Ovis aries: one gene and its partners. The protein of the gene in region 3 binds, or shares a complex with, the protein of the main gene of each other region. Links are inferred from orthologs where the notes say so. Each region holds a gene or a part of one and is shown on either strand. Other genes may lie near its edges. The genes, in order: SOS1, MAPKAP1, KRAS, RGL1, RGL2 and PLAAT3.

Region 1 (3,500 bases), about 110 Mb from region 3:
TTTTTGCTTTGGCTTTAAAAATTAAACCAAATGTAACCTTTCCCTGCTAAAACTCGTCTTGGGTCTGGCAGCATTGGTGCCTTGCTTTGCAGCATCTTAGAAGTGAGGCCTTCACTTGTACTATCTTTTGATCATAAATGATTTGCTTAAACTTATATAATTCTCATGCTTTTTGTAAAACCTTTCTTCTCTTTTGAAACAACATTATTATATGGGTGGCTTCCACATTTAACCATTTCTCATTTCCAACTTTGGAGTTCTAATGCCCAACTTAAAAAAAAAAAAGGCAAGAGCATGCATGCGCATATGGGAATGTTGGCAGCTACATGCAGTGTCTTAAGTCACACAATACACTTAGGCTGGGGACAGCACAGGCTGTAGGCAAATGACTTATTTGACTTTAGAACAGCTGTCTTATCACTGTGACTATCTGTATTATACAACCTAAATATTCATCACTGACAAGCAAAATAAAGTTCCAGTGTAGGTATTTGTTTTTAAAGTACTAACAACTCACCAACTATCCCATAAATTTTAAGCCAATAGATTGTTTTTTGCTGTCCTTCATACAAATGATTTCAGAATGTATGCAATGGAAAATAGTGTTATAAGCTAACTTACAAAGTTTCATAAGAAGAAAGGTAGGTGATCAGAATGTTGCTTATTTAAATAATATCAATACACAAAGTACTCTAAGTTCTATCTTATAACATTTAATTGACAAAATTTAAACTGTCAGTGTTTAAAGGAAAGAAAACCTGCCAAATACAATTTTGAATGATCATTTAAGTGTTTTTTCACATCTTTTTCATTGTGCTGATGTACAGGTTAACTTACATTAATGTTTTTCAAAGTGTAGTTATTTATATGCCTATATTAAGCCCTTATCATAAATGTTTGTAAGATAGGTTACAATTAGAGGCTTTTACTTACCTTTTTAGTGCCAGTTCATCAGTTTACTCCTAAATCAGGTTCACTAGATTCTAGTGTAATTTCTGTTTTTATTATCAGCATAGCCTCAGTCATTTTAAATGTGTTCATCACAATGAAAAATTTTGGATTAGAATGTGATGAACCTGACTTTGCTTCCCCACCAAGGAGAGCTGATACCTAAGCAAACTGAAGAGATCCCTCCCCAGGACAGGATGGCAGGGAGAGACATTGGAGAGAGTGGTTAAGAACAGAAAGTATTCCCAAAGACTATCCAGTGAAGGCAAGGAAATTCCATACTACTACAGTCGTGGTGGGGGCGGGGTGGGAAATGAACCCATCATAAAAGGTTAACAAAAATTACCATTCCAAAAGTTTTTAATAGTTTGCTCTCTCCCAGAAAATTCCAGTAATAGATTAACAATGGAAATGTTACTTTCTTCAAGAAGTGTAACAACAGAATAACTTAGACAGCTTTTTCTCTGAAAACTCTGCTGAGAAATTTCTGCATGCTTTTATAGCAGTTTGCTTTAATAAAGGAAGTACTGTTGGGTGTTGCTTTATTGTACTGCTTTTGATACTTCTGTACATTTCTTTTAATAAATATAAGCAGGATTGATGATATAAAATTCCTGTGAGCTTTTCAAAATTGTACCATCCTACAGGATCTGCTTCAGTATCATCTATAAGTTTAACCAAGAGCACTGATGAAGTGCCTGTCCCCCCTCCTGTTCCTCCACGAAGACGGCCAGAGTCTGCCCCAGCAGAATCTTCACCATCTAAGGTAAAGTAGAACATCTGGTTATCTGGAGACTGGAATCATTGCAGTTCCATTATAATCAAGTGCTCATCTCTCATTGAGTTCTAACGGAATGAGGTTAATACTCAGGGTACTGGGGCTTAATAGAGTTTAAACCAGAATTAAGTATGGGTTTACCATTCAGTAATGTTTATTTCCTTTCTTCTGAAAGCAGTTTTCTGGTAGGTTTTCAAAATACTTATAAATCTAAATATGGGTACTGTCAAAAAAAAACCCCACAAGTTTAACCTATAATTTAAGAGTAATGTAGTCTCAAGCAGTTCTGTAAAAAGATAGAAAGAGATCTGAAGCTGTATATGAAGGCACGTTTTAAATGAAACTGTATCTCAGTGCTAAATGTTACATATCTAAGCCTGTAACAGGTGAATTTGACAGGCTGTGGGATTTTCATGAAAATTCCAGGTCAGAAGAGACCTTAACAGCTCATAATAGCTATTTTTTTCCTACCTGTTTAAATTTCTTTCTTTGCCAACTTGTTAACATGATTCGGTGGTATCAAAGTGTCCAGAGAGCAGAGCACCTAGGCAGGGGAAAACTCTTTGCAGAATACCATGAAATGCTATTATAGTAAATTTAACATTATAAAATTGATAGGTAACATGCTAAATTGAAATGATTTTATATTAGATTGAGTGATAGGTAAGCAGCAGCAAACAAAATTTTGAGAAGAATAAAAACTTAACATTGAAGGAAAAATAATTTTTTTAATGGATGAACTGCCATAACCTCCAATTTAAAGCATATGGCAAAACTCCCTGATCCACACCTAGAGTTCTTCCAATAACGTATTTGAAAACCCAGCTTAATTCTTAGTATATTCATGGTGCTACATATGTTGTTAATAAATGTCTTTTTTTCCCCATTTATGTTAGATGATGTCTAAGCATTTGGACAGCCCCCCAGCAATTCCTCCTAGGCAACCCACGTCAAAAGCCTATTCACCACGGTATTCAATATCAGACCGGACCTCTATATCAGACCCTCCTGAGAGCCCTCCCCTATTACCTCCACGAGAACCCGTGAGGACACCTGATGTTTTCTCAAGTTCACCACTACATCTCCAACCTCCCCCTTTGGGCAAAAAAAGTGACCATAGTAATGCCTTCTTCCCAAACAGCCCCTCCCCCTTTACACCACCTCCTCCTCAAACACCTTCTCCTCATGGAACAAGAAGGCATCTGCCGTCACCACCATTGACACAAGAAGTGGACCTCCATTCCATTGCTGGGCCGCCTGTTCCTCCACGACAAAGCACTTCTCAGCATATCCCTAAACTCCCTCCAAAAACTTACAAAAGGGAGCACACCCACCCGTCCGTGCACAGAGATGGACCACCACTGTTGGAGAATGCCCATTCTTCCTGAGTTCCTCTGGATCAGGATGTACATTTTCCTAGCCCCAGATCCATTGCTGGCGATGGATGCACTGAACGTGCCAGCACTGAGGAGTTAAAATGAAAACTCCAAACACTAACGACTCTACTTCAAGATGCAGTCATAAGACAATGAATTTTAACATGGACATAATTATAAAGTGAGTATGGAAAAGTTGATCTAGAGGAAGTGGACAACTGATTTCACCGGAAAATCAAGTAAAGGAACCTTTTGCCAGCCAGTAAGCAGGAGTCCTCTTTTTGTGAAGTGATCTTTATCATTAAAGGGATGGAAAACAGTCTAGTATCCAGCAGGCCCACATGATGACAGTTTTTGTAATTCAAAATATTATGCACTTTTTAAAAAGAAATCTTAAA
Region 2 (4,221 bases), about 180 Mb from region 3:
GGCTGCAGTCCATGGGGTTGCTGAGAGTTGGACAGGACTGAGCAACTTCACTTTCACTTTTCACTTTCATGCATTGGAGAAGGAAACGGCAACCCACTCCAGTATTCTTGCCTGGAGAATCCCAGGGACGGGGGAGGCTGGTGGACTGCCATCTTATGGGGTCACACAGAGTCGGACACGACTGAAGTGACTTAGCAGCAGCAGCAGCAGCAGCAGCAGTAGCAGCAGCAGCAGGTGGGAGTGGTAAAGGATCTGCCTGCCAATGCAGGAGAGGCATGTTGGATCTCTGGGTTGGGAAGATCCCTGGAGGAGGAAATAGCAACCCAATACAGTACCCTTGCCTGGAAAATCCCATGGACAGAGACTGAGCTACTTCCCTTTTACTTTACACTTTCATGCATTGGAGAAGGAAATGGCAACCCATTCCAGTGTTCTTGCTTGGAGAATCCCAGGGATGGGGGAGCCTGGTGGGCTGCCATCCATGGGATCACACAGAGTCGGACACGACTGAAGTGACTTAGCAGCAGCAGCACAGTACCCTTGCCTGGAAAATCCCATGGACACAGGAGCCTAGAGGGCTGCAGTCCTTGGGATCCCAGAGTCTGACATTACTGAGCGTGCATGCATGCCCGCTAAGGTCCCCCCGAGGTGAAATTCAGACTTGTTTTTTTCTTTCTTTTGCTAAGGTGCATTTTTAAGAGAGACTTTCCAGATCATCTCTCAGATAGGAGAGGTATCATATCATTGCACTGCTTTCCCCTTAGTAGTAGCGTCCCCACTGATTCCCTGAAGACAGAAAGAGGGGGAATAATGAGTTCCTGTTTGGGGCGGGTCCACACATCTCATGGAACTCCCTGAATTCCTGGGATGATAATTACCTTCATTTTACAGAAAATAAGAATAATGACTAACATTTACTAAGTTTATTAAGTGTTGGGCACTGTGCCGAGTGTTTTTAGAGCATCATCCCACTCGATTCTCACAGCAGTACTCTAAATTTGGAACTACTCGATGGATGGGTCAGAGAAGGGAGTGTTTTGTCCTAGGACACACAGCAAGTTAGAGCGGGCATTTGAACCAGCTCTTCCTGATTCAAGAAACTAAGCTCCTCATCGCTCATTTCTGAAAGAACTGAGGGCTTTTCTCCGTGGACGTGGGGAGAGAGGAGGAGGTTCGACGGAGAAGGCTGACGTGGATTTCTAAACAACGCAAACCTCGAAGTCTCCGTGTTTTGCCAGTATCCCAGCTAATCTCTGACCCAGGCCTTGCCTGGGGGCGGGGAAGTGGTGCGCGCGCACGGCGTCCCGTTCGGCCCCGCCTCCCGGGAGGGCTTCCCAGCCCGCTCTCGGCTCTGGGGCTTGCGCACTACGTCCCCAGCCAACGGCTGCTTCCCAGTCGGGGACTTCCGGTGCGCGGGGTGCGGTTCCGGGTCGTGGCGCGGCTCGGGGCAACGGGGCTGCTGCTTGGCCGGCCAGCGGCAGCGAGCGGCAGGGGTATGAGGGCGAGTCCGGAAAGCGGCTGGTGAGCCGGCCGGGAGGAGCGCCAGTCCCTGAGGATTCCGAGAGTGCGGAGCTGGGGCAGGGACCGGGGGGCGCGGGGGAGCCGGGCCCTCCCCCCAGGAACGTGTCCCAAGGCCATCCCGGCCCGTAGTGTGGCAGCAGCTTCAGGTAAAGGTTGCCCCAGCCGCTAGCTCCATCGCTCACACCCCCGCCAGCCCACCGAAGGAGCCTGGCTTCCCTCCTCACTTCTCCGCGCTCGCCGCCGCGGGGCGGACAGCCTGTCTGGCCCTTGCTCCAGTATCCAGTGAGCATCCGTTTCCTGGCCCTTTCCAGAACTGAAGGCTGTTATGAATCTGACAGCTTGGGAGTGTGATTTGGGGGAGGAGAAGCTAGTGGACTCGGTAGTATCGGGGTTTGGGGAGGGTACTGTTGACTGACAGTTTCTGGTTCTACTCGGTGTCTTAATCTTCATAACATGAAAATCAGGTTTTTAAAATCATTGCTTGTGCATTCCCTGTCTAACGCCCCTTATCTCCATTGCCCCAAAGGAGTAAAACAGCCTTTTAGAACTGTTTTTTTTTTTTTAATAGGCAGAGTGCTGCTGGAACTTTGATTCAGCCTTTTGTTTATGGGAGTGGCATAGAGTCTTCTAGATCTGGTTAAGGCTGGAAAAGAAAATATCACTGTAGTTTAAACAGAAGCATTACTTTAACCGGAGGCCCAAAAGTTGACTCAGAGATTGGCACAGGTTTCATTCTGAATGAAGTGATTTTTGAAGCCTATCACAATACTTGGTACTGTGCAAAAGCATCATGTTGTAAACCAAAAGCAGCAAAGTTCAAAACTTCCTCAGGTGTGAACAGTCAAATGGAGACAGGTGTTTACACACATCAGTTAAAGTAAAGTCAACATTCTTACTCTGTTTTGACAAGCAGAAGGGATGGATTCCTAATGTAGAGCAGCAGGGAAAGGAGGCACCATGTTCTATTCTTCATATTCTGTGAGTTCACACAAGATGATCAGTAAATGCTGGAAGGGTTGTTGATGAAGGATCGATACTTGTTTTCATCTTGTTCAGTTTACACACTTGTAGGCTTATTGGGGCCTGTGAGACTTGCTGGTGGCTCCTTTCCCTTTCAGATTTATGCTCATACTTACTTTCATCTACCGTGATGCTGGAGGGTATTCAGATTCCTGATCTGGTTTCTGATCTGGCTCCGGCTAACTTTCCAGCTAAGCTTCAAAAGGCCTCTTACCCTGATTCTTCACTCTAGATAAGTAGGACCTGGAATGGGCTTTGTCCTTTCCTTTGTTGTTAGCACTTTCTTTATGCCTAGATTTCTCCTTTCCTATTTCCATCTATTGGTGTTACCCAGCGCCCACCTGAAATTGGCCTTGCCTCAAGCAGTTCAGCACAACCTCAGCTAGAAATGGTTTCTTTTCTAGAATCCTTTAAATGCTCATTATTCTATGGGCTTGGCCACAAAGTTTGTTTGGGTTTTCGTACCATCGTCCAGAAAAACCTGAATGAACTTTTTGGCCAACCCAGTTGATTCCCTTAGCAAACATTGAGTATGGATACATTCGAGGTCATCTGATGTGAACAGCTGACTCATTGCAAAAGTTGCTGATGCTGGGAAAGATTGACGGCAGGAGAAGAGGATGTCAGAGGATGAGATGGCTTGAATGGCATCACTGATGCAGTGGACTTGAACTTGGGCAAACTGTGGGTGATCGTCAGGGACAGAGAGGCCTGGCATGCTGCAGTTCATAGGGTCGCAAAGAGACACGACTGGGTGACTGAAAAACAACAACATATATCAAGTACCATGCTAGACCATATAGGGAGAAACAAGACTCAGTTCTTGCCTGCTCAATTTAGTGAAAAAGATAGGAAATAATTCTGACAGAGTGGTATGTACACTGGGTTGGAGTTCTTTCGGTGATTCAGTGGTGGTACAGGAGGGGAAGAGGTCATCCACTTTTGAGGCATGTACAATGACCTGATAAGGCTTCACAGTGTGGGGTATTGGAGAAATTATGTTAGGTTTCTTTTGTTTAATTATTTTAACTTCAGTTCACTGATCAGGAGGGCTCAGGATAAATTACACACCTGGTATGAGACGGAACCAGGATGCAGACCCACGTGTGTCTTATGCCTATATCTGTGCCTTTTATGTGTTTTTTCTTTTCTCACACCGTAGCTCTCTGTATGCAAATACATATTGAAGCAACTATTCAGAGAAGAAAATATGTGTCAAAATGAATGGTGCAGATAGTTCTTTAAATGTAGAGAAGACCATAACCTTCCAAGGCAAGATGGTAGTATGTGGGTCAGCCTAGCTTTGGATATGAGTGGACCGAACATTCTGTAGAGAATAGCCATGGACTCTGACTTCAATTCTTGGTCCCTCCTCTTAATAGCTATGTGACCTTTGGCAAGTTTCTTAATTCTTAGCATTATTTCTTTCAAGTATAGTTTGAGATAGAGACTGATAGACTTCACGGAGTAATGTGAGCTGATGTGGATAAAGTGCCTGGTATGTGGCAAGGTTCCCTAAGATGGTGGCTGTTAAGCTGTAAAGGTGCAGTGCCTGAGGCATGGTTTTAGAGTGGTGAGTAGACCAGCCTGAATAAAGCAAGCCTTTGCTTCTTTGAGTGGGGATGTGTGTATGTTAGTCCCTCAGTTGTGTATGACTCTCTGTGACCCCATGGACTGTAG
Region 3 (4,051 bases):
TTAGAAGGACAGACCTATGAGCAGAGACTCAGATGGGTGGTCCTACTAGGTATAAGCGCCAGTCTGCCAGGCCTCAATTTTAAAAAAACACTCCCCCAAACCTTTATAGATAGTTTATCAACGCAGACTCTGGGCATACTAGAGTTATGTTTAATTGTTTCATTGTTTAACGTGCTAACTCCCCGAACGTTAACTGATTAATCTGTCTTCTAATTAATGTTTGAATGATTCTCCTCAAGTCTAGACTATTAAGGGCACTTCTATTTAAAAATAGTCTGTCGTCTGCTTGTACTGTCAGGTGCCATAGGTATATCTGAGGTCGCCGTTTTGAGTGACCCGCGATGGCTTCGAAATATACATAAAAATAACAACAGAAAACAACAGATCCGCCGCTCCCTCCACCCCCCCGCCCCCCGCTTAATTAGTGGTGAAAGATTTTGTCGCGTTTGTCTGGGCTTGGGGCTAGCTCTCAGCCCCCGATTGTGGAGACTGGTAATCATCCAGGTGTGCTCAGAAAGCTCCGGGCCAGGGAACTGGCGGCCAGGTCTCTTCCGAGGTCCCCCAAGTTGCCTCCTACTTTGGGTGACTGCATGTTTATTCACTTGCAATAAATGATTGTAAATGAATGTACCCAAGTGCAGGCCGACCCCATGGGTGGCGGGATTTTCGCAGCTCCACCGTGTGGCCCCGACAGCAGGGCGGCGCTGGCCTCGGCATCGCCGGGGTACCGAGCCCGCGCCGGCCGGGGTCCGAGGCTGCGGCTCTTGGCCTGCCCTGCGGCTGGAGCCTGGGGGCGGGCCCCGCGTGGATCCGCCGGCGCCCCCACCCGCGCGCGCCGAGGCACCTCCCAGAGCCAACCTCTCTGCCACTACGCCGGCCGCGCGTCCCCACCCTCCACGGCCCCAGCCGCCCGCTTCCTCCGCCGCGCCGGCCCCCGCTCCTCCTCCGCCGGCCTGGTCCGCCCCCTCCCCGGCCCGGGCCGGCCCCCCTCCCTCTTCCCGGCGGCGCTAGCAGGCTCGCTCTTCCCTCTTCCCACATCGCCCTCAGCCGCACTCCCGTCTGGAGAGGAATCGAGCGCCGAGCGCATCGATAGCTCTGCCCTCTGCGGCCGCCCGGCCCCGAACTCATCGGTGCGCTCGGAGCTCGATTTTCCTAGGCGGCGGCCGCGGCGGCGGAGGCACAGCGGCGGCGGCGGTGGCGGCGGCGGCTTCGGTGGCGGTGGCGGTTCGGCCAGTACTCCCGGCCCCCGCCATTTCGGACTGGGAGCGAGCGCGGCGCAGGCACTGAAGGCAGCGGCGGGGGCCAGAGGCTCGGCGGCTCCCAGGTGCGGGAGAGAGGTACAGAGCGGACCACCCCTCGCGGCTCCTGCCGGGGTCCCGACCCTCCTCGCCGGCGCCGGGCGGGGCCGGCGGCGAGTGAATGAATTAGGGGTCCCTGGAGGGGCGGGAAGGGGGCGCGGGTGCGGGGCCTGGGCGGGCGGGCCGCCGGGCGGACGGGGCCGGTTGGGGGGGCGGTCTGCAGGGGGAGACGCGGCGACGCGGGGAATGAGGAATGGGCGGTGCGGGGCTGAGGAGGGTGAGGCTGGAGGCGGCCGCCGCTGGGGCTGCTTCCTGGACGGGGAACCCCTTCCTTCCTCCTCCCGAGAGCCGCGGCTGGAGGCGGCCGGGGAGAAACTCGCGGGCCGGGCGGGCCGCCCCTCTGGGCGGTCGGGTGCGGTGGAGGTTACTCCCGCGGCGCTCCAGCCTCCCCTCCCCCTCGCCGTCCTTCCCTCACCCTCCTCTCCGCTCCCGCACCTCTTCTTCCCTTCCTAGTACTGGGCTGCCTCGGTTGCTGCCTTCTCTGCTGCATCTCTCATCTCTGGGACGAAGGTATAAACTTCTCCCCCAAGCGCAGACTGGACGGCTTGTGGTCCTTTTTCAGTGTGTAGGGCGGATAGAAGAGTTAAGAGGTGAGGTCGCCTTTTGGAAGCGCAGGGGAAAGTGCTTAGAGACCACTGATGGAGGTTATTGTGTTTGGAAAAAATGCATCTGCAGCCGAGTTCCTGACGGCTCCCCTCCCCCCCGTATGGGCTGTGACATTGCTGTGGCCACAAAGGAGGTGGTGGAGGTAGAGATGGTGGTGAAAGAACAGGTGGCCAACACCCTGCAACGTAAAGCCTGGACTTCGTGTAAAGGAAAAAGTTAATCCCAGAAGGTCTGCTTTGCTTTGTCAAGTTAAAACACACACAGCAAACCCGCACGGCAGAAGCAGGGCTCTTTCCCTGCTAGTTGAGTGTGAACAGCGGTAGTTAAAATTGCACGTGAAGTTTAATTTGCCTGTTTTCCTTTCCCCCATGCCTTCTGTATTACCCTTATGCGTACAAATTGGACCCCCAGCCCAGGAGTTATTACAGTACTCCTAAACGGTTCCCAGGCCTTTTTTTTTTTTTTTTTTCCAAAAGCGACCTACAAGAGAAGTTAATTGTAGCAATCTGCCAGCCAAGTGCCTGAAATACTCTGAGGCATGTGCATTGGTGCAGGTGAAGTCCTAAACTGGCCTTCTTAAATCTTGATATCCACCAAAACGAGTGGTTAAGAACAAAAACGCATTTTCTAGTTTTTACTTACTATACATGTTACATTTGTAATGAAAGAAAAAATTGTTCAAAAGAAATTACAAAGGGAAAAAATTCTGTTCATAGTCATCATCTCAGAATCAACCTTATGAGTGATGTCATTCTTAGGTGACTAAGGTCCAAAATGCTGACTCGAATGTGTAGTGGACTAGAGACGTCAAAAATGGTTGATAGCAGTACTGTTTACCTTAGACTGTATCCGTCCACAGGCATTCCTGGTTTTAAGAGACAGTAGATGAAGTGATAATTCATTTTTTTTAATGGTCAAAAAAATGAACATTTTTTGCCTGAATGAAATGCTCAGTTCTGGTCCCAGTTCCACCCCTTACTAGCTTATGTAGCTTTGGACACGGAGAACTCCTTTGGCCTGTGATTTTCCATGGCAACCCATTTCTCTCTAGTGGATTAAAGAAACTTGATTTTTGAAATCCAAGTGAAAGATTTTTTTCAGAAATAACCACTGCATAAAAAAGTAGACCAGAAAGTGTGTGGTGTTGAGAATTCACATGTGTATCTGCAAGCTAAGCACTAATCCAGTATTTGTCCACAGTCTCCCCTAGACTGGCTCACTTACTGGCCATAAGGACTCTTCAAAATTACTGAAGATCCCAATGTGGAGTGTGTCAGTATTGCCACAACAGAAATTAGAATGGAGAATTAAACTATTAATTCATTTTAAAAAGAAATAATTAGCCCTTTACTTGGTAACAGAAATAGAATATTTAATGAAAAGTAACTGTTTTCCAAAACAAATGCAACAGTTAGCGAGAAGAGTGGCATTGTTTCACACTTTCACTAATCTCTCTAATTGTATGGCTTCGTAGAAGATAGCTGGATCCTCATAGCTGCTTCTATAGTCAATGTATTGTGATCACAGGTCTGGAAAATTCTACTGTATATACTTGTGAAAGAATAAGAGTGGGAAGGGTACATCACCTCATACCATTATCATCAAACCAGGTTTTACCTCTTGGACCCTCTCCAAAAGTCTTGGGAACCCTGGTGGGTTCCTATACCACATTTTAAGAACTACTCTTCTAGGCTATCCAGATTTTATTGGAGGGGTGGGGTGGCAGGGAACTAGAGGATATGTTTTGGTGTGATTATCCTCACCTATCACATTTGCTAATGCCAATATTAGGAATGAAAAGAGGGAGCAAAACAGGACATAATGCATGTTGGCGGTGGCCCTAGACAAGCCTGGGTGGCACAGAGCAGGCCCATGAGGAACTGTGATACAGCAGTTGCTGGGCCTGTCTGCTCTTTGGGAATGGGTTCAGGAAGTAGAGCCAGAGCAAGGATGTGGTGGGGTGGTGGGGTGCGTACTGGGAAGATTCTTGGTCTTCAGTAAATGGGATGCTGCATGTGTATGATGTTGTATAGTATATCTGCACTTTCATTAATCTGGAACTACTTACCGTGTAGTACATTCTTGAA
Region 4 (4,272 bases), on a different chromosome or scaffold from region 3:
GAATCATTTTGAAATACTTGGGCCAAACCACATCAATACAGCATTTAAATAAAATGCAATACACGCAACCAACCACCAAAAATAAAGTGATGACTTGTCAGAACTCTAGTTCTGTTTTTCCTATCAGGTCTGCTGGTGATGCACCTAATTAATTCCAAAATCATATTCCGAGTAAGGTACCTGCTTAATAAGTGAAGACCTCAGGCTTTCAAAGGAAAAGCTCCTACCTTTCTAGGCCATATCTGCAGATGCACCTAACAACTGACTGCCCTAGAGGGTGGTACTTCAACCCCAAATACGCAGCCTGACTTGAAGCAGCTGGGGAAGCCCAAAGCAATGAATGCCTGTGTCAGCAACCCAGGAGACCCACGGAAGAGGAAATCATTGCTGTTGGCCATCCTGCCTTAAACTCCAGGAATTACAAGTCACATGCTGCCTCTGGTCTTAAAGCCCTGGGCAGTTTTGTTTCCTGTCCTCTTTCGCACCTGACCTTTGACTGTTGATCAAATTTAAAAAAAAAAAAAGGATTTTCTGAAATCCAAAACCAGTAGAGATTGGATGCCAGTGCATAATCTTCACTGTTCTCAAGCCCATCAGCTGTGAGGCCTGAGTATGGCCAGAATAAGGCCCAGGGAAACCACACTCCGTCCCCTCTGTTCGGCTTACAGCTATCTTCTTTCTCAAGGCTCTCTGTCACCTCACTGTTCTCGGAGGATTCCTTCTACCTCCAGATGAAGAACTCCTTCGTTCTTCCACATGATGATGTCTGCCCAGGCTTCCCACAGCCCCTTTAGTTGGGATATGCTGAAGGATCCATTAATCAGATAATGAATTAATCAGATAATGAATCTGCTTATCCATTAAGCAGATAATGAATAACTCACATGCTCTCACCCAATGCTTTAAAATCTCAGCAGAGGGAGGTGGGGGATGTTGTTTATGGAAGCAGTGTTTCTCCAAAGCCCCATCCCTCCACGCACCGGACGCATAAAGTGGTGGACACTACATACCGTGTAAAGGATGTAACCGTGGGAAATGCGCCATCCCCCATAGGAGGCCGATTTGGAGTATCAGCGCCCCTGAGCATTCTGGGTACTTGGTCAAGGAACAGGAGTGGGAGAAGGGCTGTCAGGATCAAAAGCGGGGGAGACAAAGAGAAAAGGATGGCAGCGGGGCAAAACGGCTCTTGTCTGACTCGGTGCTATCTGCTGATCCTGTTAATCTATGTTACTTTCTGCCACTCCACCCTACTCTACTCTCCAAATACCTCAAGATGTTTCTAAGAGGTTCTGAATTATTGACAAACCTAAGGGAGACGCTTCGGCAAAGAATAAATACAAAACCAGACCGGTATGGCTAGTGCAAACACTTGCTCATTGGCAGTTTCCTTTTTAAGGCCAAAAGAGAAGAAATGGAGGGAAAAAAAAAAAAAAAAAAAAAACCTGCCTCTGCTAAATAATAATGATATTCACAGAGCAAGAGGCCCTGCAAGTCCAAGGCTCACAGTCTCCCCAGCTTTACTCACCCCGAGCCATCTCGCTCCTTTATTGGCAGCCTGTTGAATCTGGACTCTCTTGAGGGTGACATGGTAAACAGCTCCTTCCTCTACCTCTTCACCCCAGTCCTGAATCGAGCTCTGCCAGGAGACAGGACAAAGAAACAGAAAAAGTTGTTTGTTTGTCTGTTTTTTCCCTCTCCGCTAACCAATCTATCCCAGCTGCTTTGCTGCTTACAGCAGCACTCAGGGCATAAGATGGGCTGTTCAAAATAAATATTACAATCAGGGCAACATAAGACACACTGTGATAGAGGGAATACTGAGATTTTCTTGGCCCTCCAGCCCTTTGCTATGCTATCAAGAGCCCAGGACTTTTCCATTTAGTTATTTTTCCTAGGCTCCTTCACTATCTTAAATACCTTTTTAAAGTCTTTTTTTCTTTCTTAAAGAAACTGAAGTTTAGTCCTGGTTCACTTTTCCTCCTTAAATGAGAGGAAAAAGAATTCACTGGCAGAAAAAGTTTGTCTCTTTACAAGTGGCTCCGTTCTTGGAGCAAACTGCATTTTAAACTCTGCCACAAAAAAGTGTTTAAAATGCTAAGAGTGCTCGCTCCTTTGGAACGAAATGCTTCGCATGTCTTTTTTCTCCTCTTATTGTTTGGGAACCCAGAAAGTTAGCGGGAGGGAAAAAGTTTTTATTTCCGTCAAATAACCTGGCAAGTGCAGAAAAAAAGCAACACATCGGCTGCGTGCAGCGACCCCCTGGATTTCCCTAAACTTGAAGTTTGTGTTTAAAGAGCCGCTGGGACTCAGAGGCGCTCCGCGGTTCACCCAGACTCACAGACCTCTTGCCTGAAAAGTTTTTCTTTGCTGACATACATCAGCCCAGATACACCAAAGGCAACTGCTGAGAAAAATAAGTATGGTTTAAAGGGAGAAGACACGCAAAGAGGAAGGCGGAGAAAGCCGAGAGAGAAAGCTCTGAGCTCCAAAGTCTGGGATCGGATGGCTCCGTTCACTCCGAGGGAGTCCAAAACCCGCCCAGAGAAAGCGGGAGAAGATTCCCCACCAGAGCAGCGTCGGGAGAAGGCAAAGAGTTCTCGTTACCATTTTAGCTTGCCAAAGCAATTTCATTCTCAGTTTTCTCTCCGGTGTGTGGACGCGGCATGATGCACCCCGCTCCCAGGCGAACGCGATCCCCGCGCGTCTCCGCCGCGGCGCCTCCAAGCCCCGGCCCCGCGCGGCCGCCGCGCACGGAGCACAGACACGCGCCCGCCGCCGCCGGTGCGCGCGACTCGGCCACAAAGGGAGCGCGGCGAGCGAGGGCGCCGCAGACTCCTCCCCACGCCACCCCGCCGCTCCGTGATGTCAGGCTTTCCTGTTTGTGCTCGGGAGCACACTCTCCCTTTCTGAAATCCCGCGGATAAAGTTAGCACGCCGTGATTTCTCCAGCTCTGAATTCGATCGGCAGCCAGCCACCCTTGCTAGTGGATCAGGTTTTCCTGATTGGCCACCAGGTGCCCCCAAAAGATCCGGGTGTGGTATCGGGGATCTAAGTGTGTTTTTCCTTCCTTCGCTCAAAGAAATAAAGGGGGAAGCGGTGCAAAAAGGGATGGGAGGAGGGGGTCGGATAAACGTCTATTATCTGCTTGTTACCTATGGAATTTAGATTCAATAAGGGCGACCCCAGTGAGAACGGCAGTACTAGAAGCCAGCAAGCTTTTCATAAGGACACACAAAAAAAAAAAAAAAAAAAGAGAGAGAGAGAGAATTGGTCAGAGGGTATTCCAAAACCCACGCCCCAAGGATGCGCTTGTTCTGAACCAGCACACCACCAACAGGAAATGCCTCTGGACGTCTTTCTAGCCCCCCATAGTTTAAGGCTCATCAACTGTAACTGGCCACTGTGGCAGGGAAAGGGGCAAAGCAGGAGAGAGTTCTGCTGAGACTGACAGCGTGGAAATTGGGCCACCGGCGGCCCGGAGGTTCCGTGAGTCTTTGTGAGTCGTCACCATGGGTTGAGTTGTCTGTACTGTAGGGACACCGTGGGATGATAACCTCGGGGAGAGAGCCATTCGGAGGACACTGCCGGAGGGAGTTTTGTCCTAACAGAAAGTAAATCAACAGCGAAATTCCAGATGATAATATAATCAAACATTGGCACATGACAGAATTCCATGCCAATTGCAAAAAAAAAAAAAAAAAAAAAGTTTAGCGCTCATGTCTTTTATACTGTTCTCCCCTAAATGAATTTAATAGCCTTTAAATTTTTTTTAAAAGAAAGGCCTCTCACTAATTGCCATGCCGAGGCATAAGGCTGGGCTTTGGTTAATAATAAATGTATTATGAACTGAAAAGCTAGAGAATTCAGTGTACTGGTGTTCCCAGGAAAGCAAAAATAAATGACAGTGAGGGTGCATCCAGGAAAAATAAAAAGATCTTTGGACACTTCAGAACTTCTTGAAGTCACTCAGCAAAGTTCCCCACAAACCACCACAAACTATTGGACAGAAGGGATGCTCTTTTTATCAAGCTTTGATTATTTCTATTTTTACGAAAGCATGTAAACTTGACCTTTCAATGACCACCAGCATAGCGTGTCCCCAGTGTCCAGCGGAAAATGGTGTGGAAGACCTACCACCTGCCTCTTAAGCCATTCCAGGAGCACCCCTATTCAGTGATCCTGAAGAACACAAGATAAACCTGGGGACAGTTAAACAACCCATCAGATTAATTTCACAACTACTTTAACCTGATTTTTGGCTGTGAATTTGG
Region 5 (3,974 bases), on a different chromosome or scaffold from region 3:
AGAGTGAGGCCAGCTCAGCACCATCCTGGGGAAGCCACCATCCTCTCCGGTCTAAGCTACTGTAATAACTCCCCAAACTGTATGCCCTCTGTTCCTGCTCCCTCCAGTCTCTCTCCACTGAGCCACTGGAATGCCTCCTGAAAAGACACTAGGCAGTCACCTCCTTAGGACTCTAGAGCAGCGGTTCTCAAAATTTTTGGTCTCAGGATCTCTTAAAAATTATTAAGGACTCTATAAAGCTTTCACTTATGTAGATTATAAGCCACAGATACTTACTGTACTGTTCTCAAAACTGAGAACAATACACAGAAAGACACAAGCACACGTTCCGTTAGCTGTGGGGACGATGTCAGTACACGTCATGTAGCTTCAGGAAAACGCCAGTGTAGGTTCTTTAGCGAACCGAGAGTGAAAAGGCAAGTACCAGTTTAGGATTGTTATGAACATAGGCGAAACCTCACGTAGCCCTTGAAATAGTCTCAGGGACCTCTGGGACAGGAACCGGTGCTCTAAAGGCCAAATCCATTCTTTTCCTGCCCTGACTCAGTGCATCCCTGCGCTCCAGCCACTGCGCACCTTTTCAAGCCCGCTTAGCGCTCTCCCGCCCTCCTTCCCGATGCTCATTACACCTAAAGCTGACCCTTTTCTCCAATGGCCTCCCACTCCCTCTGGGTCCCAGAGCGTTGTTCTCTCTGCCTGGGCTACAGACCAGGTCAGCCTCGCCCCCTCAGACCGCCGCGTGTCCCTCTAGTGCGGTTCACCACGGTTGTATTTAAGTGATTGTGCGAGTCGTTGTTAAAAGCCTGCCTCCCTGCCCGGACTGTTGGCTCCTCGAAGGCTGGGACGACCCTGTCCTTTCCCTGCGGTGTCTCCCGCGCCTGCACCAGGGCCCGCTGGAGGGCGCTCAATTTAAGAAGTTACCCTTTTTTCGTCCGAAAGATTAAAATATGTGTTGAATCAAATAAACTACTGGAAGAAGGAAGCAGCGGCTCGGCTGAGGGGGACCTTCGAGGGCCAGGTCGGTCGGACGCAGGGTGCGGGTCTAATCGTGTGGGAATAAACTCGTTCCAGTGTTTTCAAAGGGACGTCTCAGTTCTACCTCAGGGACCCTCTTTCCAGGCGCTGTGACACTTCCACTCACGCGTGGTTCCTTCTCACGGCCCTGCCTCTAACGCCTTGGCGGCACCCGATGCCCCTTTGGAAGGGACTGAAGCCGGGCGCCACCCACGGCCGACAGCGTGCCCTCAGGCCGCGGGCACTCGCTGGTGTCCAAGGCTTCGGAGAGGCCGGCCTCGGCGCCGGAAACAGCCCCCGGCGCGCGCTCTGGGACCGGAAGTGGCGGCTTCCTGCCCCGCCCACTCCCGAGCCGGTGGGAGCCCCGGGCTCCCCGGAAAACCCGGAACGGATTTTGGTCCGCTACACGCGTGGGTGGGGGCGGAGTGGAGCCCCCGCGGCCCGGAGAAACTGGGTCCGTCCCCCGTGACACGCTCCCTGCGGGAGTTTTAGCCTCGCGGTGTGCGAGGAGCGGAATGTCAGATTCGGCTCTCGCCCTTCCCCGGGGGCTGGAAACGGGAATCCCTGTCCCCACTCAGCGCAGGGCAACGTGGGCTCCAGGATCCCCGAGCACAGTCGGGCTGGAGACCCGGGCTCCTGGGTCCCGGCCCCCAAGCGTCCGGCGCTCCTCTAAGTCCGCGGCCCTGGCTGCTGTCCTCACTTCCTTCCCTTTTTGGCTCCTGCTCTCGGGGCGGGCGGACGTCGGGGGGGAGCGGAAAGGGCGGGAGGGCCCGGGAGCCTGGCGGGGCGGGGGGGGGGGGCGTACAAGGGGGTGCGGAAAAGCCGGGGACGGGCTCGGTCCGGGGACGTGATCGGGGGCCGGAGACCGACAGGAACGGCAACTCGGGAGCCGCGCTGCCCCCACCCGTCCTGAGCAGGTCAGAGCCAGAGCCCCCTGTAACCCCGCCCGAGCCCGTGCTCCCGACCCCCGTCCACAACAACGCCAGGCCCCGTGTGCCCCTGCAGCGTTGCCCCCGACCCTGCCTCCCCGCGGGGCTCCCCGGAGACTACCTGGAGCCCGCCTTCTGGGGCCCCGCGCCCCCCTGACCCCCCTCCCCGCTCGTCTCTCCTCAGGCGCCCCCATGGCCCGACCCCGCTGACTCCTTCAGCCGGCCATGCTCCCGCGGCCCCTGCGGCTGCTGTGGGACACGAGCCCCCCCGGGGGAGTCGTGCTGAGCAGCTTCCGGAGTCGAGACCCCGAAGAGGGTGGGGGCCCCGGTGGCCGGGGCGGGGGCGGGGGGCAGGAGGAGGAGGAGGACGACGACGACGACGAGGTGAGGCGCGGGCGGCGTGTGTCCCGGAGACTCTCCCCGCTGCGAGTCTGTGTCCCTGCGTGTCTTCCTGCCTCAGCCCCTGCCGCGCCTCTCGCCGGAGTCGGCCCGTGTCCCCCAGCGGGGAGCCCCGGCGTGTCCGAGGTTCTGTGCGGCACCGACACTCAGGAGCCTGGCCCGTTCCCGCCCGGCGCGTGTGGCTGGCCGGCCTGCGGGTCCCTAGCCCTCTCCGCCCGTGCCCGAGTGGCCCGTCCCTCCGGGCGTGGAGTCTAGGTCCCTGTCTCCCTCCGGGTGTCTGTCTGGCAGGGAGGGGTTTGTTTCCACAGTAACCCGCTCCTCAGACTCCGGGATTGGGGAGGGAACCCTTCTATTTCGTGACCCCTCCCCGCTCCGCCGCCTGGGGCTGGGCGGCGGTGGGGAGCCGAGGCTCTCGGACCGTCGAGGGCCGTCCCAGGCCGAGTGGCTGGTGGTCACCTGCTTCCCTTCGGGGCTAATGGCGTGGCAGGAGTAGGATTCGGGCCTCAAGAGGGGCCGAAAGTTGGATTTGGGGCCCCGAGATTTTGGACGCTCTTGTCCAGAGTCTGAGTGAGGATTGACTGGGTGACTAGCAGGGCTGGTTTTTCGGGATCGGTTGGGGGAGCGGCCGGGGTCACATGACTCTGTGAGTCTAAACCACCCCCTGCTCCAACACACACACACCGTCCCCACTTCCCCTTCTCCTTCCTGTATTGGGATCGGCGCCGCCGCCCTGAGGGGGGTCTCCAGAGCTGAGGAGGGACCCGGGGAAAGGGGGCTAAGGCGACTTACCCTTTGGGCTTGGCTAATTCCTGCGGGGGAGGGCGGAGCATGAGGTTGTGCCCGTGACTGAGGTTTCAGCTTCTCAAGGTCTCTGCCTCAGGCTTTCTTCCTCTCTTTCTTCCCCCTCCTCCTACCTTTGCACCTTGATTCTTGGCTGTTCACGGTTCAGCTCTGGGGGGGAGGGGCTGCAGCGGTCCCCAGGCTCAGGGTTCCTGCATTCCATCCAACTCCCCACTGCAACCCCTTAGACTCCACCGGGCCCTGAGGCGGCTTGGGGGGGGCTGTCTGGGCCCCAGTGGGGAAGACCTGGGGTCACCAGCCCCCCCCCACCCCTCGTACTCGTTGGTACTGTCCCCCTCCGCAACAGGTGAGGGGCACAGAGGGAGGAGCAGGGCCTAGGGGTGAGGCTTGGGCAGTGGGGTGGGGTGTGGAACCACCTGACCTCCCCTTCCTTGCTCCTCCAGGCCCCTGTGTCTGTCTGGGAGGAGGAGGAGGATGGTGCTACCTTTACAGTCACAAGTCGCCAGTATCAGCCTCTTGATCCCTTGGTGAGATTATAACTTTGACGTCTCACCTCTGACCTACCACCTCCTAGTTCCCCTGCCTCCTGCTGACTTTCTGGCCAGAATACTAGGTTGGAAGTTTGGAGACTGGACTCAGCTGTGTGACTTAGTTCGAGTCGTTTGCCCTCTCTGAATCCTAATACAATGAGGCTGAATCATCTCCTAGGTCTTGGATTTCTCCCAGAGATCTAGCGGGGGAAAGTTGAAAAAAGGGTCAGTGGCTGGCGCTCTGTCTCCCCCAGGCCCCAAGGCCTCCTCTGCGTTCCTCCCGGAAACTCCGAGCTGGCAC
Region 6 (3,994 bases), on a different chromosome or scaffold from region 3:
TAACCTCCAACACACACAGACTCAGCTCCATGTGTCTGCTCCAACAGTAAGTTCTGAATGGCTCAGAATGGTTCAAGTTCACTTTCAGGACAGTTTGGGCTACCAATCCCTCTCTACATTTTCCTGTGTTTAAACAGAAGACAAGCGTCTGCGCTCCCAGCACCAGAAGAAAAGAGACTAAAAGAGAAGTGTCTGAAAGTCTGAATCAATTTCACTGGGAACTAAACTCTCATTCTAAAGCAATGGACTAAATAAATGTCAAAGTTCACCATCATTCAGCCATTTTCTCTGATTTTTGCCAAAGAAGAAAAACTGGGGAGAGTTTTACCAAATAAAAAATTATGATGGATTTTCTGGTGAAGATGTTTTAGTCAAAATGTTTTAAATGTGGATATATTTAAAAGCCACTAGAATGGATAAACAACGAAGTCCTACTGTATAGCACAGGGAACTATAGTTAATATCCTGTGATAGGTTATAATGGAAAAGAACATTAAAAAGAATATATGTGTGTATATGTATATAACTGAATCACTGTATTGTACAACAGAAATTAACACATTATAAATCAACTATACTCCAATAAAATCAATTTTAAAAAGAAAAATAAAAAAATCAGAAATTCTCTAGCAGTCCAGTGCTTAGGACTCTCTGATCTCACTGCCTAAAGCCTGAGTTCTACCCCTGGTCAGGGAACTGAATCCCGCAAGCTGAACGGCACAGACAAAAAACAAACAAACCAAAAACCTAGAGATCAACAAACATAAATTAAAAATAAAAGCCACTAGAATTAATTTTTTAAGACATAGGCAGCATTGCAGTTTCTGGAATTTATTACAAAATGGGATTTTTATTAATCTCTGGCAAACCGATTCTAATGTTTAAGGCTTTTCCTATTTGTATATCTGTTGTTTCATATGAGAGAAGCTTTTGAAATTAATAAAAAGTGTTCTTCAATCAACTGTGAGCCAAGACAGATTGACAAGTCTGCCTCTACTGAGAGTTGCATATGCAAAGAAGATCAGTTTTGTCAAAGTCAAGGACAACTTTTCAGAAGAAGTTCCAAAACAGAAACTATAATGTTGTCATTATTCATGAGTATAACCAACCTAACTTTAAGAACAAGTTTTCTTCTAAATTACATTAATGCAACTAAAAACTATTAACCCATTACCCATTCTTCTATTAACTATTAACCCGTTCTTCTCTATAACATCTACCCTACTTTTCAATTTTTATTTTTCCACTGGCGTGATTTCATATACAAAGCTCAACAGAAGCAACTTTACTGTGTTTCTTTTCCGGCCATTACTAAATATTTATTTCATGATTATTACTGAAAACAATGTTGTTAGATAACGAAGAGGGATGTTTTTAAATGACCACTCCCGGCATCAAATATGCCAGGTACACCCTAATACCAGGCATGCCTTAAGCTCTTTACACGGATTAAACCATAATCATAATCAGAACAATGAATTACAGGTGAGCACTTAATATGCGTGCAAAGCACGTTCTGAGCACTTCAGAAGTATTAAGTCACATAATCGTCACTCTGGGACTGGAAACGTGATCAACGTGCCACAGCTAGGGAACAGGATGGTGAACATGATCCCAGGGGTGTCTTCCTCAAAAGCCGGGCTCAGAACCTCTCCGCAGAGGGTCCTGATCGGTTGAAAGGAAGCATGTACTAAGCCCCTTTATGATTTCTGAACCACATCACAGATTAGAGATAGGAAAAGTGAAAGTTGGGAAACTGCTGGCAGGGCGCCGCTGAGGCCAGAAAAATGCCCCTGTGGTTAAACCCAGGCGGTGGGGGCGGGGTGGGTGCAGCAGGTGCAGCCAAGACATGCTGCTCCAGGAGCCCCTCCAGGTGCTCTGGTCTGACTCAGGAAGGCAGACAGGACCTTGGCGGAGCAAGTCTCTCCTTGCTGCCTCCCAGCTCCGGTTGGCCCTGCCTTCCCCGGCTCCTGTTTCAGGCAAACAGGACCTGACCATACAAGTACTCACACTAGGACAATTCTAACCACTGACCGTCTCACGCCTGATGCCCACCTCACCGGCCAATGGAGGTGTGGCCCGAACATCCTCAAGGACCCCTTCTCTGATGACTCAGACCGACCCAGACACGGCCCCCACCCCCAGCCCACGCACAGCCGCATTACTTACAAAGGGTGCACGCATCTTCTTGGGTGATGGCGGCCCTCGATTTCAGGCTGGAGTTGACTTTATCAGCTGTGTAAATGCCTGAGGCAGGAGGGAGAGGGGAGTCACCGTCAGTAACAAGAAACCGTGTCCCCAAGACCCCAGGGGCCAGTGACTTCTGGCGGAGGAGACCGTGCCCAGTTGATCTCCAAATTCTCGCGCAACGACCGGCTCACTCCATTCCAGTTCCTTGCCGGTCCCCTCCCAACCCCTGCACCTGGCCATGAACCCTCGCAGGGCGGGCAGGAAGGTTCACCGGATACCGGAGAGGCTGGCGGTGCAGCGGCGGGGAGCGCGGTCGGTGTCACCTGCTCTGGCGGCCGCGCCCCAGAAAGTCCGCGGCGCCGCGCCCGCGCGGCCCTTCCTCCCGGCCGCTGCGCTCAGCTAAACCGAACTAACTTGTTTACTCCGGTCTCACCCAAGTCCTCCATCCCCCACACAGCCTGGGACACCGGGAGAGCCACCCCAAGCGTCTCACCCTCCTTACGAGCTGGGATTACTGCTCCACCCACCTCGCGAACTTAGAAGGCAGTAGCGGCCTCCACCAGGAAGGGAACCAGTTAAATGGCCGCAGAGTTCAGGCCCGCATGAGGTCACCCGGCCCCTCCCCGTGTGGCTGATTAGAGCCTCGCAGAGCTCACGCCCAGGGCGACAGGGACAGCCTGCTCCGGCCTCTGGGGCAGACAGGCCAGGATGCTTTCCGCTCACCGCGAACCCTCTCCACACACACTACCCTGAGAAGAGGAGCCCCGAAAACCCAGCTCGGGGCCACCCCCGCGCAATATTTTAAGATCTCGTATACCTATCTATAGAGAAGGCGATGGCACCCCACTCCAGTACTCTTGCCTGGAGAATCCCATGGACGGAGGAGCCTGGTAGGCTGCAGTCCATGGGGTCGCGAAGAGTCAGACACGACTGAGCGACTTCCCTTTCATTTTTCCCTTTCATGCATTGGAAAAGGAAATGGCAACCCACTCCAGTGTTCTTGCCTGGAGAATCCTAGGGATGGGGGAGCCTCGTGGGCTGCCGTCTATGGGGTCGCACAGAGTCAGACACGACTGAAGCAACTTAGCAGCAGCCGCAGCATACCTATCTATACATATCGCACTGCAGAGTAATCAGTTTGCTCATCCCCTCAAGTGGGCTTATCCTGTGGTTTAAAACTACCGCAGACCTCCGTTATCCACGAGTTCTCTATCTGCCCTCTGCTGGGTAAAAAAAAAAAAAAAAAAAAACAAGAAGAGACAGAACTATGGATAAGCTGAGATTATTTTAGGGTTCTGGACTTCCGGTTTGGGGCATTCCCTGGGGATCTGGGAACACATCCTCTTAGGATAAGGGGGCACTGTATATTAAATTTTAAGGCCATTTAAAGGCAAGGGCCTAGCAGAGAGGAAGTATTTTTAACTATTGGGTCCCAAGCCATCAGATGTCCCTCAAATCTGGCACCAACCTGGCACATGGTAGGCATTTCATGAATGAAGGAATGAATGACCAAACACAGGCCCTTCTTGTGCACTGGGCTGTGACTCTGCAGGGGTAAAAGTTGTTCTGGTATACCACTACTTCCTGACCCTTAGCTGCTCGCACTGAGCTTGGAATCAGGCCAAATCCTGAACCTGGCTACCTACAGGGTCAAGAGCACCCTTCCCTCTCTGAGCCTCAGTTTGTTCATCTGCAAACTGGAGTGCTGATGATATTGTACAATATGTAAGATAATGTATAAAAATATACACAGCATTGCTCTCAGACAGGCTTCTCAGGTGGCTCAAGTGGTAAAGAATCCACC

What was found.
Region 1: the proteins of KRAS (region 3) and SOS1 are in contact, whole or in part, in a crystal structure (PDB 8BE4), measured with the Homo sapiens proteins. The link is inferred for Ovis aries from reciprocal best matches to the Homo sapiens genes KRAS and SOS1. Residues at the interface, in NP_001356715.1 of Homo sapiens: Ser17, Ala18, Ile21, Gln25, Asp30, Glu31, Tyr32, Pro34, Thr35, Glu37, Tyr40, Asp54, Ile55, Leu56, Asp57, Thr58, Ala59, Gly60, Gln61, Glu63, Tyr64, Ser65, Ala66, Met67, Arg68, Asp69, Gln70, Tyr71, Arg73, His95; in NP_005624.2 of Homo sapiens: Lys602, Trp809, Thr810, Lys814, Leu822, Met824, Ile825, Arg826, Thr828, Thr829, Thr832, Leu833, Leu872, Val875, Ser876, Asn879, Ser880, Ser881, Pro882, Tyr884, Ser908, Asp910, His911, Tyr912, Lys913, Phe929, Phe930, Gly931, Ile932, Leu934.
Region 2: the proteins of KRAS (region 3) and MAPKAP1 are in contact, whole or in part, in a crystal structure (PDB 7LC1), measured with the Homo sapiens proteins. The link is inferred for Ovis aries from reciprocal best matches to the Homo sapiens genes KRAS and MAPKAP1. Residues at the interface, in NP_001356715.1 of Homo sapiens: Ile21, His27, Val29, Glu31, Asp33, Pro34, Ile36, Glu37, Asp38, Ser39, Tyr40, Arg41, Leu56, Glu62, Glu63, Tyr64, Ser65, Ala66, Met67, Asp69, Gln70; in NP_001006618.1 of Homo sapiens: Phe280, His287, Gly288, Phe289, Ser290, Leu291, Ile292, Gln293, Lys307, Lys310, Arg311, Arg312, Lys313, Gly314, Ser315, Phe363, Glu365, Ile369, Val374, Met377, Leu378, Ser380, His381, Tyr484, Glu487, Ser488.
Region 4: the proteins of KRAS (region 3) and RGL1 are in contact, whole or in part, in a crystal structure (PDB 7SCX), measured with the Homo sapiens proteins. The link is inferred for Ovis aries from reciprocal best matches to the Homo sapiens genes KRAS and RGL1. Residues at the interface, in NP_001356715.1 of Homo sapiens: Ile24, Gln25, Glu31, Asp33, Pro34, Thr35, Ile36, Glu37, Asp38, Ser39, Tyr40, Arg41, Leu56, Tyr64, Met67; in NP_001284600.1 of Homo sapiens: Ile651, Arg653, Asn660, Gly661, Asn662, Met663, Tyr664, Lys665, Ser666, Ile667, Met668, Lys685, Asn687.
Region 5: the proteins of KRAS (region 3) and RGL2 are in contact, whole or in part, in a crystal structure (PDB 8B69), measured with the Homo sapiens proteins. The link is inferred for Ovis aries from reciprocal best matches to the Homo sapiens genes KRAS and RGL2. Residues at the interface, in NP_001356715.1 of Homo sapiens: Ile24, Gln25, His27, Val29, Glu31, Asp33, Pro34, Thr35, Ile36, Glu37, Asp38, Ser39, Tyr40, Arg41, Lys42, Tyr64; in NP_004752.1 of Homo sapiens: Ile651, Arg653, Glu660, Asp661, Gly662, Ser663, Val664, Tyr665, Lys666, Ser667, Ile668, Leu669, Lys685, Lys686, Asn688, Arg689.
Region 6: the proteins of KRAS (region 3) and PLAAT3 are in contact, whole or in part, in a crystal structure (PDB 7C41), measured with the Homo sapiens proteins. The link is inferred for Ovis aries from reciprocal best matches to the Homo sapiens genes KRAS and PLAAT3. Residues at the interface, in NP_001356715.1 of Homo sapiens: Ala11, Gly13, Lys16, Ser17, Tyr32, Asp33, Pro34, Thr35, Ile36, Thr58, Ala59, Gly60, Gln61, Asn85, Asn86, Lys88, Asp92, Tyr96, Lys117; in NP_001121675.1 of Homo sapiens: Leu65, Tyr66, Asp67, Val68, Ala69, Gly70, Ser71, Asp72, Lys73, Tyr74.

The regions. Positions count from the first base shown.
Region 1 is NC_056056.1:85,200,159-85,203,658, forward strand, and holds part of SOS1 (son of sevenless homolog 1), read left to right. Parts: intron 1-1,595; coding exon 1,596-1,714; intron 1,715-2,622; coding exon 2,623-3,114; 3' UTR 3,115-3,500.
Region 2 is NC_056056.1:10,388,016-10,392,236, forward strand, and holds the start of MAPKAP1 (target of rapamycin complex 2 subunit MAPKAP1), read left to right. Parts: upstream 1-1,421; 5' UTR 1,422-1,667; exon of another isoform or gene 1,668-1,803; intron 1,804-4,221. UniProt on the Homo sapiens protein: Component of the mechanistic target of rapamycin complex 2 (mTORC2), which transduces signals from growth factors to pathways involved in proliferation, cytoskeletal organization, lipogenesis and anabolic output.
Region 3 is NC_056056.1:190,372,588-190,376,638, forward strand, and holds the start of KRAS (GTPase KRas), read left to right. Parts: upstream 1-1,251; 5' UTR 1,252-1,324; exon of another isoform or gene 1,325-1,337; intron 1,338-4,051. UniProt on the Homo sapiens protein: Ras proteins bind GDP/GTP and possess intrinsic GTPase activity. Plays an important role in the regulation of cell proliferation.
Region 4 is NC_056065.1:64,267,797-64,272,068, reverse strand, and holds the start of RGL1 (ral guanine nucleotide dissociation stimulator-like 1), read right to left. Parts: upstream 2,801-4,272; 5' UTR 2,632-2,800; coding exon 2,605-2,631; intron 1,637-2,604; coding exon 1,526-1,636; intron 1-1,525. UniProt on the Homo sapiens protein: Probable guanine nucleotide exchange factor.
Region 5 is NC_056073.1:7,623,825-7,627,798, reverse strand, and holds the start of RGL2 (ral guanine nucleotide dissociation stimulator-like 2), read left to right. Parts: upstream 1-1,174; 5' UTR 1,175-1,189; coding exon 1,190-1,468; intron 1,469-1,819; exon of another isoform or gene 1,820-1,931; intron 1,932-2,127; exon of another isoform or gene 2,128-2,168; coding exon of another isoform or gene 2,169-2,327; exon of another isoform or gene 2,328-2,597; intron 2,598-2,747; exon of another isoform or gene 2,748-3,489; intron 3,490-3,586; coding exon 3,587-3,670; intron 3,671-3,927; coding exon 3,928-3,974. Other genes in the region: TAPBP (tapasin precursor), read left to right, coding at 1-7. UniProt on the Homo sapiens protein: Probable guanine nucleotide exchange factor. Putative effector of Ras and/or Rap. Associates with the GTP-bound form of Rap 1A and H-Ras in vitro.
Region 6 is NC_056074.1:38,443,914-38,447,907, forward strand, and holds the start of PLAAT3 (phospholipase A and acyltransferase 3), read right to left. Parts: upstream 2,801-3,994; 5' UTR 2,718-2,800; exon of another isoform or gene 2,624-2,717; intron 2,617-2,623; exon of another isoform or gene 2,423-2,616; intron 2,248-2,422; 5' UTR 2,185-2,247; coding exon 2,170-2,184; intron 1-2,169. UniProt on the Homo sapiens protein: Exhibits both phospholipase A1/2 and acyltransferase activities. Shows phospholipase A1 (PLA1) and A2 (PLA2) activity, catalyzing the calcium-independent release of fatty acids from the sn-1 or sn-2 position of glycerophospholipids.